3 linked regions of the Caenorhabditis elegans genome follow. The protein of the gene in region 3 interacts with the protein of the main gene of each other region in a pairwise test. Each region holds a gene or a part of one and is shown on either strand. Other genes may lie near its edges.

The links. Proteins that work in one complex are often made in the same cells at the same time.
Region 1: the proteins of M03B6.3 (region 3) and rnf-113 interact in a two-hybrid assay, tested with the Caenorhabditis elegans proteins (one large-scale study listed by BioGRID).
Region 2: the proteins of M03B6.3 (region 3) and kin-4 interact in a two-hybrid assay, tested with the Caenorhabditis elegans proteins (one large-scale study listed by BioGRID).

Annotation. Positions count from the first base shown.
Region 1 is NC_003281.10:10,755,052-10,759,454, reverse strand, and holds rnf-113 (putative E3 ubiquitin-protein ligase rnf113), read left to right. Parts: upstream 1-1,814; 5' UTR 1,815-1,817; coding exon 1,818-1,955; intron 1,956-2,018; coding exon 2,019-2,751; intron 2,752-3,473; coding exon 3,474-3,757; 3' UTR 3,758-3,831; downstream 3,832-4,403. Other genes in the region: K01G5.10 (Haloacid dehalogenase-like hydrolase domain-containing protein 3), read left to right, coding at 937-1,224, 1,271-1,369, 1,420-1,779; Chromobox protein homolog hpl-2, read left to right, coding at 3,945-3,986, 4,261-4,403. UniProt on the Caenorhabditis elegans protein: May function as E3 ubiquitin-protein ligase that catalyzes the transfer of ubiquitin onto target proteins.
Region 2 is NC_003282.8:11,423,875-11,428,813, forward strand, and holds the start of kin-4 (non-specific serine/threonine protein kinase), read left to right. Parts: upstream 1-1,867; coding exon 1,868-1,926; intron 1,927-2,259; exon of another isoform or gene 2,260-2,280; intron 2,281-4,939. Other genes in the region: F22B3.8 (Tyrosine-protein kinase), read right to left, coding at 1-15, 66-259, 407-630, 678-823, 1,006-1,011.
Region 3 is NC_003284.9:13,860,734-13,866,256, reverse strand, and holds M03B6.3 (uncharacterized protein), read left to right. Parts: upstream 1-1,964; 5' UTR 1,965-1,968; coding exon 1,969-2,129; intron 2,130-2,176; coding exon 2,177-2,365; intron 2,366-2,568; coding exon 2,569-3,019; intron 3,020-3,329; coding exon 3,330-3,494; intron 3,495-3,543; coding exon 3,544-3,636; intron 3,637-3,686; coding exon 3,687-3,731; intron 3,732-3,828; coding exon 3,829-4,106; intron 4,107-4,194; coding exon 4,195-4,529; intron 4,530-4,613; coding exon 4,614-4,768; intron 4,769-4,822; coding exon 4,823-4,879; 3' UTR 4,880-4,980; downstream 4,981-5,523. Other genes in the region: hlb-1 (Liprin-beta homolog), read left to right, coding at 163-351, 403-513, 680-718; M03B6.4 (uncharacterized protein), read right to left, coding at 5,386-5,523.

The DNA of each region.
Region 1 (4,403 bases), on a different chromosome or scaffold from region 3:
CACAGCGAGCAGTTTTGCGATGAGAAAAGCACGAGTTCGACGGGTTTGGACGAGGAGAAGGAGCGCTGCAAAGCACGAGGAAATGTGATCATTTGAATTGGCGTCAAAATCACATGGTAAAACTAGGCCGCGCATGACCTGAGCACGAGACACTCTCTCGGCCATTTTCAAGTTGGCGCGCTGTGTCACACACTCCGGTGGAGCGTGTTGTGGCGGAGTGTATGAGAAGTGTGCGAGTGGTTTGCGTTCGGCGCACTCCGCCCACTTTTTCCGTGCCGCACGCGGGTCTTTCGAATTTTATCGATTTTTTAAAAGTGTTTTTTTAGTTTATTTTTGTTTTTGACGAATTTATGAGGGATTTCTTGCGATTTTGGATTTTAAATAAAGAAATAGGTTTAAATATAAAAAATATCTTTAGATAAAGTATTCCTAATCGATGAAACAAGTGGAGTCAAGGAAATCTCTAGTTTTTCCTTCTAAATACTCGAAGCAAGCCAAAATGAACGAATTTTGTGATAAGATTTCTTTTAAATTGTTCAAAAATTGTTATTCTGTTCAAAATCAGGTGTTGGAAATTAATTGATTTTGGCTGAGAAATCGTTATTTGGAGAGTTTGAACAGTAAATTGAACTCTTTTTTTTCTACAGAAATATCTCTGAAATTCGGATGCAAAAACCTTTTTTCTTTTAAGAAGCCTAGTGTTATCCCTATGCATCTCGAAAAACTTCTCAAAAATTCCTGATGTTTGAATTCGAAAAATCGATTTCCGATACTTCCAATATTATTTTCTACGAAATCGTCATTTAAATAGTTAAAATGCAGTATTTCCGTCGTTAAAATATTGTTTTCGGCCAATTTGGAGGAAAATTTTCAATCAACACACTAACCTTTTCTTTGGAAATCTAAAAAAAACTCTAGATTTCCATATTTAGCTCAATGCTCTCCAACCTGCTCCGTACAACTTCTCGTAACCTTTCCACCCCTCCAGTCGTGAAAGTTCTCTCCCTAGATGCTCGTGATACACTAATCACGATGAAAGAGTCTCCACCGATAGTTTATTCCCGTTTCGCGAGGCAATATGATTTGGAAGTCGACTCCGATCAAATCATGGGAAGCTTTCTTAAAAATTATAAACGAATGAGCATCGCATCGCCCTGCTTTGGGTTCAATGGAATTGGAAACAAAAGTTGGTGGATTGAAGTAGTTTCTTCTACGCTTTTGGATGTAGGTGTAATCTGAATTAGGCAAGTCCCCTACTTGATAGTTTCAGTGTGCTCCGGATTCTGAAAAAGGACGGGTTGAAGTGATCGCTGGAGCTTTGTACAATCACTATGCAACTCCTGAGCCGTGGAAACTAGTTGAAAGCGATGTAAATTTTGTGAATTGTTGAAAAAAAAATACTGCAATTTTTCATTTTAGACGCGCCAAACTCTGCAAAAACTTCGCCTGAAAGGAATCATCCTGGTTGTCATCTCCAATTTCGATAGTCGCTTGAAATCTCTACTTTCTCAATTCAATTTACTCGATCTTTTCTCCATGACAGTTCTCTCCGGCGAAATTGGGTACGAAAAGCCCGATGAGAAGATCTTCCAGCTAGTTGTCAACCATTTCGATCTAATTTCTCCCTCGGAAATCTTGCACATTGGAGACAATTTGAAAAATGATTTCCATGGCGCCAAAAATTTCGGCTGTAGAGCTCTATTGTTTGATTCATCTTCCTCTCATAATGTTGAACCGTTTTATTGTATTTCTCGTTTGTCAGATTTGAAGCTTTATTAATTAATTGAATTTAATAAATAGTTTTAATTTTTCAGATAATGGATCTCTTCCGAAAACCGAAAAAGCGCAATGCACCCGTCGTTCGTAAAAAGGAAAGCTCAAGTGATGAGGATCAAGATTCAGAAGTGAAGGATGTGATTCAAAAGCGACGTCGTACGAATCCGATGGTCCAGTCGGTGAGATCTTGGTACTTTAGTGCTCCAAAATTTTGGAAAATCCCAATAAACTTTGAAATTCAGACCAAACAACTAGACGCCTCAACACGACGTGCTGATAATTCATCGGATGATTCTGACGACTCTGACGACAATCAGGATATCGCAGTAGCAACTCACTCGTTCGCCGCTTCAGGAGATGCCGGTCCATCTGGACCACGTGATCAAGGTGCCACTGCAACACTCGAAGTGGACACAGACTATTCACACGATGCCCAGGCTCAATTCGAACGAGTCCAACAGCAACTGAAGGAAGGCGTCGAGAAAGACGGAAAAATTCTGTACAAGGGAAGTGCACTGTATGGAGCCAAAGAGGCGAAGGATACGGCCAAGGGAAACGCTGCAAGTGGTTATAATCGAGTTGGGCCCGTTCGGGCGCCACAATTTCTACGACAAACAGTCCGTTGGGATTTTGCACCGGATATTTGCAAGGATTACAAGGAGACTGGATTCTGTACGTTTGGAGATTCGTGTAAATTTGTGCACGACCGATCGGACTATAAACACGGATGGGAGATTGATGAGGAGTACGAAGCAGGAAAATATGGTGCTGAAGACGATGCGAATTACGAGATTCATGAAGGCGACGATACGTTTCCGGAGGATTGTTTTATTTGCGGAAATCCATTTGTTGATCCGATCGTGACAAAATGCAAGCACTACTTTTGCACCGGTTGTGCGTTGAAATCGTTCCAAAAGTCGTCAAAATGCCCAATATGTCAGCAGAATACTGAGAATATTATGAATACCGCAAAAGGTTTGAAATAGAACGATTAATTCGTGATTTTCGCAAGTTTTGGAAGGTTTTTCGGCGCAGTTTGATACTTACATGTTACGGAGGATACTGCACGTGGACAAGCGTGAATCTTTTTTCACATTTTTTGGACAATAATAAGACATTATAACTAGAAAGAGAGGAGGAGCCTAATTTCGCAACTCTGCGGCACGATTTTTCGACAATTTTCCACTGTTTTTTTTTTTGGTTTTTTTTCTGGTTTTTTTTTCCAAAAAACTTCGATTCTTCCTGTTTTATTTTTTTTTACGAGAAAAAAATCAAATTTAATTCGCATAACATTTCGATTATAGTTCATATTTTTACAACCAATTTAGCTTGAAATATCCTCCCAATCTAATGTGAATTAAAAGGAATAAAATCGAAACTTTTATGGAAAAACCCCAAAAAAGAAAAAGGAAAACCGTGCCGCATGGTTGCAAAATTGGTTGCAAAATTACGTTCCGCCTCTTTTTCTGCTTTTTGGAAAACTCATTTCTTTGGTAATTTGGAATGTTGGAAGAGAATCAGCGAAAATAGTTCAAAAAAGTAAATTTCAGCCAATAACTCACAGTTGTCCGGGTGAAGTACAAAATCCTTCGTAAATTTACATGCAACAAACCGCGCTTTTAATCCAAAACTTGCGAAATTCACAAGATAGTAGCTCGAAAAATGTGGCAAAAAAAAATTAATTTTTAAATTTTCAGAGCTCCTAACCTACCTGAAACGGAAGAAGCAACAACAGAAGCAAGAAGCCGAGAAACAGGAAGAAGAAAAAGATAGTGACGATGATGAAAAACCACACGAATGCGACGATCACCATCATCATGATCACGAAGATGAGCCCGAGGAGCCTGAAAACGACTCAAATGTTCCAGAAGCCGAGGAGAAGAGCGATGAGGAACAGGAGATTATGATGGAGGATGTGGAAGGGCTTGAAGGTGGAGAAAATGACTCTGAGAGTGATGATGATGATGCTGAAAAAGATTGATAATTTTTATTTTTTTTTTAAATATTTCTGTACGGTGATTGTCTGTGAGTAAACTAAATATGATTTTTTTTCTTGTTCGAGCCTTTTTTTAATTTCAAGATATTGTTCGAATCTTTATTCCATATTTTTTCTATGTTTTTTCAGATTTCTCCCATTTTAGCTCAAATTTATTTCAGCAATTTCAAAAATGTCGAGCAAATCAACAAAGCGAGCAAAAATCGAAGATCCGGTATGGAACGGCGAAAAAACCAAAAAATCTATTTTTACAACAAAAAAAACTAAAAAATACAATTTTGCAACGAAAAAAAACCAAAAAACAGTCCATTTTGCAAAAAAACAATAAATCAATTTTTGCACTAAAAAAAATATTTTAAAAAAACAATTTTGCAACAAAAAATCTATTTTTGCATAAAAAATCCAATTTTGCTAGAAACAAAGCGACAGTATAAGTTCCCCGACAAAGAAAAAAAAAGTCACATTTTATTCAAAAATCTGATTTCCAGAAGGACAACGTGTTCATGGTGGAAAAAGTGCTGGACAAGCGAACTGGAAAAGCCGGCAGAGACGAATTTCTCATACAGTGGCAAGGATTCCCCGAGTCTGACTCTAGCTGGGAGCCGAGAGAGAATCTCCAGTGCGTCGAGAT
Region 2 (4,939 bases), on a different chromosome or scaffold from region 3:
CAAGAATACACGTGTCTGAAAATTAAAGACCGTCTGGAAATGGCTAGAAAAGCACTCAAACATACATTGTGATAGCAAATCGGGTTGACCTTATAGTAGTTGATAAGCTCATCAATAGTCGGAAACTTGAATCGCCGCTCAATATAAAACGAGGTCCATTTGCCGGCGGTTTCTTCAATAAACAAATGCATATCCATGTTCTCTTTCTTCACATCCTCCAGATCCCCATAGAAACTTCGTGTGGTGCCGGTTTTTTGTGCTGAATAGGGAACATAATTGTAAAATCTAGAGTTTTTCAACGAACAGTGAGGGCAAGTTCCCCGCAACAGCTTGACAACTTATGAGAAGTTCATTGAATAAGTTTCCAAGCTGCTAGGAAGTTAAAAAAACAAAAAATAAAACAAACTGATATTGACGGACAGAACAAGAATGACACGAGTCAGTGGAATCGGATCAGTGGCACTTTTGTCCGGAGTCGTCGGCTTCTTCGCATTCTTCTCTGGTTGATGCGACAATCTCAGGAGAAAGTCTCCGTTCGTCTTCAACAAGATCAGTTGTAGCTCTTGGAGCACAAAACCATGGAAAAATTGGTATCTCAATAAATAATTGTCAATCATTTCATTAGTTACTCTGGAAATTAAAAAGTGTTTTGGGATATTTGGGATAAAGTTGCTCACCTTCCAACGCTTTTAGTTTTTTCTACATTTTGATACATTGAGTCGTCCGGAAAATTGATCATAACTGAGTTTGAAATACTGCTGCCATCTGTTGTCCTTTCAGTCTTTTCGGTCGTTTCACTCTTACATTCTTTTTTCTCAGATTTCTGAAAATTGAAAATTACATTTTACTATACCAGGAATACCGAATTTGTCTTTTTTTTAAATAATCATACTACAGGCGACCCATTGCAGGAAACTTATTCTAGAATTTCTGATGTCTTATTTTATTTTCAGGTAGACGCGTAGCCAGGTACAGGCAGGCTCGAACTCCCGCACTCCAACTCACCTTCATTGCAAAAATTTTACGACGATTTTGAGTAAAATTATATTGGGAAATAAATAAGTTTGCCTCGTCGTATTTGTTTTTTTTTTCAATTTTTTTCACGGGAGTTTATGTATTTAAACATACAGACAGTGATACAACTCAAATTCAGAAAACTTCCAGGAATCAAACTTCATCTGAAGGATTAACGGTTAAACCAAATTTTCCTGACAACAAAGTGCAAAGTCACTGCTCGACAGTTAGGAACAACTTCCTACTCCTGCCATAATTTAGCATCTTCCTATCAAACCTTTCATCAGCGGCAAGCAGGCAGGCGAGCACGTCTGAAAAATTCATGTCTACTATCGAACCCCTTAGAAAATATATTCATTTTTTGCAATTCACAGGATGTCAAAATATTGAAAATTGTTGCTTATAGAGTGGAAAAAAGGAGATTATTATAATAGCTGGTCTCAAATGTCAACGGCAGAAGTATTTAACTAGATTAATATTTTCAAGTTTCATGTTTTCGGATATGTCACCATTCACCATACACTTTACCATTATCTAAATCTAGAAATGTTACAGTAATCCATGAGCACACAAAATCAGAAAACGAAGAGCAACCTTGTGATGAGCTGGAAAAAGGGGATTAGTAGAGGTGAATGTTGAGAACAGGAAAGAAAGAGAGAGTGAGAGGATCAGAAATACTTTCAATTTATTTATAATTTTATTCACATCACAAATCTCTCTCCACTCAACTGCCCATAGTGATTGATAAGCTCCGGCGTTTCGCCTACTCAACGTTTCCCTCCAAAAACTCCAATCTAACTTTTTATTTTTGTTTCTAGCCAATCTTTTTTTTTTTCTATAGTTTCAGAATCAAATGCTCAATTTTGGAGTCGTTATGTATCAAAAGAAGAGCCCAAGTAATGCAACAGAAAAGTGAGTTCTGAGTGTATCTTACCAAACCGAAAAAAGTAAAAATGCAACCTATAAAACAAGATATTATCTCTCTCATTGCAATAGAAATCTCCCCCTAAAAAAAATCTCTTTGCACATGTCTCTGTCAGTTCTTTTTATGTTTTGCGTGCATAGAATTGCCGATTGTCGGATGATTTTCTTCTTCGTTCGATGAAAGCGGAAATAATAGAGAACAGCGTTTTATTGTGGTTTTTTGTTTTTTCGTGTCAAAGTTTCTGTAAAAGTCATGATGGTAGAATTTGTTCTAACTGTTTTATTCTTTTATTTTTAACTTTCAATTTAATTATAAATCAATTGCATATTATTGTCCATGTAATTAAGCTTTTAAGTTATCAAGAATAAGTTGAAAATTTTATTTGCAAATATTTTTTATGTCGAATTTCGATGCAGATAATGTTTTTTTTTTCCAAAACCGCTAAAATTATTTCAATATTCTTTATTTTTTTTCTATAGTTAAAGAAAAATTTTTTTAGAAAATTAACAAAAAAACTAAAAAATTACCAAAAGTTGTTCATTTTGATGAGAAAAAACATGAAATGTTTTCTCTGAAAAAAAAGGAAAATGGTCAAAATGTTAATATATTTTTGCAAAAATCGAATTGTTTTCGAAATATCTGAAAAACTAAAATTTTTCGGAAACGGTTTTTCTATAATACGCTTTGTATGCCAGGATACATTAAATAGAGAAAAATTGAGACAAAGTCCAATTACTGAAAGTGTAACATTTTTCTTTAAATTATGATCTAGGATAGTTTGTTAATGAAGCGATATTGCTTCTTGTATGCATACCTATGTATGTATGTCATTTCCGAAGTATTATAATATGTATCCTAATCAAGAACATGGATCATAAACATCTTTATTTTTATTATTTTATCTTTATTTTTCAACTCGATGTAAATTAAAAATCTTCACTAGTAGCCAGTAGCTCGACTTTGCAAATGCGTTCGTTTTAGATTTCGTCTTGTTTCCGATTGGCCCGGTTATTACGTAAGCACCTAAATTTTAATGTTATTGCATCTCATCACTACTTAAAAATGAGTCAAGTTTTTGAAATAGAAATACGAGCTTCATTGTGAAGATCACGATATTCTTTTTATTCGAATAAATCTGGTTGCATAGCTGTAGTACGTCAACGGACGAACCTGGATGAAATAGTGAATAAATATATTTTCTATAAAAAGGAGAAAATAAAAGAAATGTTATAGTTGACAGTTAATCCTTTGCATGGTGAATCTGTTGGCGGATGCCAGTTAATCTCCCTGTTTATCCGTATGCTCATATTTTTAAGTCGTCTTCAGTCGTTGTCGTTCTAAAAAATTTGGCCATCGATTGGCTCAGCTTCGTCTTTTTTGCCTCCTTTCACTTCTTCTTTTCTTGTCCGATTTCAGAAAAATTAAGATAATAAATTGCTTCAAATTTTGAAGTGCAATACACTTTCGCAGTCTAAATGCCTCTTGTTTTCTAAAAGTTATGCCAATTATTTATTCTTTAAAAATATTGGACTTACTGCCATGGAAGTCATATAGTTTCGCTACAAAAGTAGTACCTGTTCTGTGGTTTGGGTATTTTTCGAATTAAAATTTTTCCAAACTCAACTTTTTTGTGCAATTCTAAATGTATTTTTATGAGTATTCTTTTTTCTCCCTCTCCTATGTACATCCGCCAGCAGATGCTTGTTGAATTCTTATCGAAAGCTCTTTATCAGAACTTATTTTGAAAAAAATGTCAAGCATTCTCCGAGCATAGGTTTAAAATATTTCTGAAACACAGGTACATTTAACCAATCTCTCAGTTGAAAAGGTTACAATTTTCAGTATCAAATAAAAAAGTATAACACAATAATCTTTTGCACTTGACTCGCGTCATTTATCTGATCAACATGGCTTCATGCTCGGAGAATGTTCTTCTTTCTGCCAAAATGACTCACTGGAAATACTTTGAACATTATCAATGAAATTCAAAATAAAAATCAAAGAATAAGACTTTAAACTTTGAAAATTAGGACTTAAAAATTGTTGTAGAAATGCACCTAGCTCTTCAAATTTTGTTTGCCACTTTTTTACTGAAAATTGATGGCAACATACTTGAATTCTTTGATTTTTTCTCTACTAAAGGAAAACAAAAATCTTTGAAACTTTAAAATCAATGGTTTGTGTTAACTGAATTTGGTTCACCGATAGAACGATTGTTGTAAATCAAGGAGGTTAAAAAATTGAAATATCGATTAGTCATTGATTTTGAAAATTCAAAGCTTCCAGACAGAATGCCTCTTTGAAATACCCTTTGAACTATCAAGCTTCCTCCTCTTCCTCCTCTAAAAATAACGTGAATAAATTGTTCGAAGAGTATGGAATCATCTCATTTCCGATTCATATTCGTTTCCGCTATCAAACAATTTAACAATTTAATATGATATTCAGAGATGAATAAAATGCATTTTCTGCTCGAATGCCTTTTTTAGCTCGAATAAGTTTCTTCTTGCGTATCAGTTGGCAGGTGCAATGCTCAATTTTAATTTTAAGAAAAGTTTACATCAGCAAGCCCTACTTTCTCATTCTCTCCTTTTTAATTTTGTTTCTTTTGTTGTCTTGAAAGAAATTCAAACCCTTAAAGTATAAAATTGAATCAATTGGGTGTTCTTCTAATTGTCTCGTTCATTCAAATATCACTATGCATTAGGGAATGTCATATCAAATTGAATGATGAAAGTAGATTAGAAAGAGAAAAGAGAACATCCATTTAAGTATTCAAGTTAGCTTTTTGATTTTTCTAGATTTTTATGAACTAAAAATTGAGAATATTTACACTTGGCTGAGAACCACGGCGCGAGGAGATCGTTGAAGAGGCTGAAAGAAGCGACATCGCCCAAATATGAGGAGGAATGGCGTCTTCCGTTGAATTTTAGGAATTAGAATTTTTATGAGTATCATCAAGTTAGTTTTAACTTAAAGGTTCCGACAAAACCTTCAGAT
Region 3 (5,523 bases):
CCTTGGTCAAAGGTTGGGCAAAAATTTGGTGCCACATATTTTGCAATTGAATTTTAAATTGGGAAGTATGTCAGGCATATGGACGACATTCCTACATTAACATCAACAGTATTGTTAAGCAACTTTTTGTTGATAGATTCTTCTTGTATGTTCAATTTCCAGATATATGAACCATCATTCACTGCCGAATCCCTTGCGGAAATCCTACAGATGCCTCCGCATAAGACGCTTCTCCGACGTCACTTGACATCGCATTTCAATCAACTTCTCGGCCCGAAGATTATTGCCGATAAGCGAGATTTTCTAGCAGCCGGCAACTATCCGCAAATCTCCCCGACAGGAAGGGTAAAGGTGAGAATTTGGGAAAGTGAAGCGAGTCACACGGACGCACAATTTTTGCAGGTCGTCAAGAAAGGATTCTCGTTGACTAGAAAAAAGGCAAAGAATGAGATTTGCTTGGAGCCAGAAGAGCTGCTTTGTCCACAGGTGTTGGTACACAAGTATCCCACTGGGGTATGTAATTAGACATTAAGCTAGTGAGACTATCAAATTCTGGGAAACAAAATATTGTTTAAAAATTGACTACAAAGCTTCCGAATATTTTTTTATTATTTATGACAATAGTAACTTTGCATAATATCATTTTGTATTTCTCTACATAAAACCAACCCATTTTCAGGCCGGAGACAATAGTTCATTTGAATCGTCAAACGTGTAGTCGTGATCAAAGTAGTAGGAACCAAGAAGCCATGCATCATGACATTTATCTTTCAAAAACTGTTTTACCAAGAGAAACACCAAATCCCGCTGTCTGTAATTAAACACTGAGTCTTGAATCTATCTTTCATTGCGAGTCCCTTGCATTTCCATCATTAAAACCATTCATCATACACTTAATTGTTATCGTGCAAAAATTTTCTATTTTTATTCTTTATTTCCTGAAAATCCAAATCCATTTTCATACCCAACCAAACTTATTTTGAGCTGAATTGTAGATCAACCCTCACTACAACCTCTCCACTCACACCCACCTTCCACGCAACAATTGGTTCATCCATTTTCTGAGATGAACCTCAACTTTTTCATGTGACTTATTTCATATGTTTCCAATGTATGTTTCATTTTTCTTCCGTTCAAATTATTGGTCATTCATTCAAAGTTTGTCTTCCCTTGTGCTATTTCCATGAATATACAAAGTTAAAATAAATTCTTAAATTTCAAATTTTCCTATTTACATTTACACTGCTCGAAAATCAATAAGTTAGTCAAGTGAAAATAAAACCAATAATAATAATAATTGTTAATGATTGCTGCGCTTAAACTGACAAACAATATGGGCTCACAAAATTTTAATTTTTTATAACATTTTTTTGGTCACAACAATTTTTGTTTAAAACTGCTACTATCAGCGTTCAGCAAATTTTTATATAAAAAATTGTAAGTAATTTGATCAGGGAGTTGTTATATCAACTTCTTGAAAGAAGAATGTTACCAGAAAACTGAAAACGGTTCATGAAATGTTCTCAAACTTAGACATCATGTTACCACACATCAGCAGGGAAGTAACCAGCATACAATTTCAACAAAAATGTCATGCTTTCCATGTACACAAAGCCCCAAAAAAGTGTCAGAAGTGTCATCATTCAGCTTTTTCTTTTCCATTTTCCAATAGGTCATCAAGCAAAAGATAAGTGATAATGAAACGGAAAATTGACCTAGTCCGAGTGAAAACGGAACGTAATCTTCCTATGCTTCTCCCATTTCGCGACTTCGACAATCATGATAGCGACCCAATTTGAGGAGCGCGTTGTGTGTCTCTTATCCCAACACGATTTGTCCACGCCCTCCGTTTGAAACAAATTCACCTTCATTTCTTCATTTTCACTTTTCACTTTCACATTTCCCTTTTTCGGGATTTTCATTGTCACTCATTTCTCATTCCATGATAATAATACTTTTTTCAGAAGCATGAGGAGTTATCTCCTATTATCACTATTGGTGATAGCAGTTTTTGCTCAGGATGAGGAAAGTTCTTCAAAACCACCATTTATGGAAAGAATTGTGCAGACTTTACCAAACATTGGAAATGTGATTAAAGGACAGATGGAAGGAAATCCAGATGAGCTAAAGTAACAAGCCAAACTTAACATACCCCGTATAGTTATTTTTTATTCAGGAAGATGTTGACAAACATGCTAGGAGGTGGAATGCTAAGTGAATTGGTGGTTAACCCTTTTGGTGTTGCTAAAAATATTGGAGTGCCGCTAGAAGATCTAGGCATTAACAAGACTGATTTTGGTACTCCTTTAGATTTGCCAGGCATGAATGGAACATCGAAAGCTGCGTTCAAGTTTTTAGATGCATTGTGAGTTTTTTTTTAATGGATTGTACTAAAATAATAAAACAGTCAAGTTTGTATAAGAAGAAAATGAAATGCGTTGTATATGAAACCATTATTAATTTATTTTTGCACTCATTGTTGAGAAAATACTTTATTAAGTTTTGTCAAAATGCCAGATAAATTAGTCGAGTACAATCAAAGTTATCACAAGCACCATTAATGTTTAGCACTTCACAACCTCCTACAACTAAAGCAAAGGAAATGTATGTCGATGGAGTTAAAGTCAAGGATTGGGACAGATACGCAAGAAAGTTCCAGCTCGAGAGGCTTGGCTACACAACAATTGCCCCACCAACTTCCACAGTTCCACTCAATCCTGAAAACATTGCAGAAGTTGTTTTTCAAAAACTGAAAGAGCGAGAGGGCACAGAGCCACCAAGACCTCACGCTGATCTGTCAAATTCTATTGATATGAATTTAGTCGATCCCAGAAGAATGGCCGAAGTGAACGCTTTGTTGAGACGAGCACCACAACGATTCGAGAGCCCGCAGGCATCACTGAACTCAATGGGACCTATGGATATTGGACCACCAGGATACATGCAACCACTGGATCCAGCAATTGACGAGGTTGTCACGAATCTTCGCACAAAGGGAGCATATGGTCTTGGTGTTGATGTAAGTGATGAGATAATTTTGCTTGTTCAGCGATAATGACTTTAAAATAGAAGTTTGACTAAGGCATACTGAACTATAAATCTTATTTATTGAAAATCATCATCAATTGACCCTTCATTCATCGCTTCAATTTAATAATTTTCTGATAAGCTGTTACTTCCAATATTCGATTTGATTCTTTTGTTTTATTTTTTATTTTTGTACTGCTTAAAAACTGATTCGAATTGAAAGTTTATGCTTTTCTCAGTGTTCGACTACGTGAAAAATGGAAAGTCGATAATAACTGCTCCTTTAATAATGTTTTTTTCAGGATGTGAAACGCCTTCAAAACATTCTCCAAACATACGAACAAACTTTGCAAACTAAGGAACTTCTGACTAGACGTAAACAGTTAGAAGTCCTCCAGACTGAGCTCACCGAGCAACGCATGAAAATCGAGGTTCAGAAGAAAATGGAAGAAGAGTTGAGGAAAAAGGTGAGTAGCAAGGCGTGCGAAAAAAACTAAATTTCATTCTTCAATTTAGGAAAAACAATTGGAGGAAGAAAAGCAACAAATGGAGCAAAGACTGAAGGAGCAGCTCAGCAATTGGCATAGTTCGTTTGGGCCAAATCAACCGGTAATAATGATGGTCAAAATAAATTTTTTTTAAAGTTTAGTATTTTTTAGAGACCACCAGCGCCATTGCCAACAGACTTGCAATTGGAAAACTTGGTGAGTCATACAAAAACTGTCAATTTGAATTTTTAATCTATGATAGAAACTTCAAATTTTTCAAAATCAAGCTTGCTTAAATTACTTGCATTTTCAGGGTTATCCACCATCTCCACCAGCGCCACTAGCTCAGCCTACTCCAGCCCCAGCAGTGTCAGAAAACACAGATGAACCACCAGCATTTATTGTTGCATCTTCTCACGAGCGTAAGCTTACCGAAGAGCGCGAAAACCTCGTTGAGCAACAAATGATGCCAGTTCCACCGCCAGCAAAACTCAGCAGCGCTCTTCGCAATCATATCCGGTATTCTCCAACTCCGGTGGTTACTGAAGCTACTCCAGTCATTCCACCGAGCACTTCAGTTGACAGAGAAGAGTGAGTTATATTAGTTGAATTAGAATATGCATATTTTGTGAATTCACGATTTGTAGACTCTCATTGTTCTAAAAAATGTTGGTTTCAGCGATGAATTTGTTTCCAAGTGTGACTGTGAGCAAATTTCCCTTGAGAAAATGAACGGGAAGTGGCTTATGGCTTTGGCTTCTCCAAACGTGGTCCAAGCAATCCAAGAAAAAGCAAACGTTCTTTTAGAGGGAACAGAGGCCCTTACATGCTCAAGATTCGACGTTTCCGCGGGAAAACATTCGGTTGCCGCACAAGATGCTCGATTAATCTGGCAATTCAGAACTCACGGAGCTCCAAAGCTCTTTAGACTTCGTGGTAGTGCGCTGACAATGGATCATGAATCAGTTAGAGTTCAAATGGCAGATTTTAACGGAGAAAATTTCAGCTTCCCATGTTAGTTTTTATTTTGTTGAAATATTTTTAATATCCTATAAGTTCTTTAAACTATAATATTAATTCAATATTCTCAATTTCCAGTCTGTGTTCTCAAATCCGGAGAAACTTCTTCCTCTTATGAACATCTTCTTGTGACCAACAGCCAAGGAAACTGCAAAGATGTCGCTCTCCTTGTCAGAGACCCACAAGAATTCTTCGATCATCCAAATAAAAATCTTCAAAAATATCTGAAAAACGTAAGTTCACATAACCCGGTTGAGATTTTACTGTAAAATGTTCCAAATGTTCAGAAAATTGCCAAGAAGGAAATGAACTCCCTAAATGTGGTCAACTTCGGAGACTGCTGATCTCGTCATGGGTTATAATATTTCAATTTCCCTAATAATTGTACAAATTAATAAGAAGATGACAAGATTTATTGTTGTTTGATAATAAATTAGTATTGCTGATATGCGATAAAAGGCACTACAAGGTATCGGGAACGCACAATTGTCTGATACGCACACTTAAAAGATTTAATCGGATACTTCTCGTTGTGAGAAAAATTAATCTTCGTAACTCGTAGTTTTTTTTTTTGGGAAATTTAAGGAGTGATTCTTGAATATTATGTTTTCTGCTTACAAAAAAATTTAAAAAAAAACCATTGCCACGAAGATAAATATTGCTATTATAATCATTTTATTTAGTATCGAGATACGTATTCATACATCAATGCGTCTTGTAGTCAGCGTATCAAAAAATTACGACATTACGATACCATTATGCAGAGATAAAAATGCTAGTCGAGTAAAAATATGAAGAGATTAACAACATTGCCGAAATAAAACAAGTATATCCATAAGCTTGAGCAAAACTATTCAACAAGACATACAATGCCTTGAATCACTGTAGCAATGGCTTTGGTAAAAATGGCAGCAGCTGCGAACATTGCAAAGTTGCATGTTGCTCCAAAGAGCCAAGCAAACGACAAGTAGACTATCAGACTGCACAT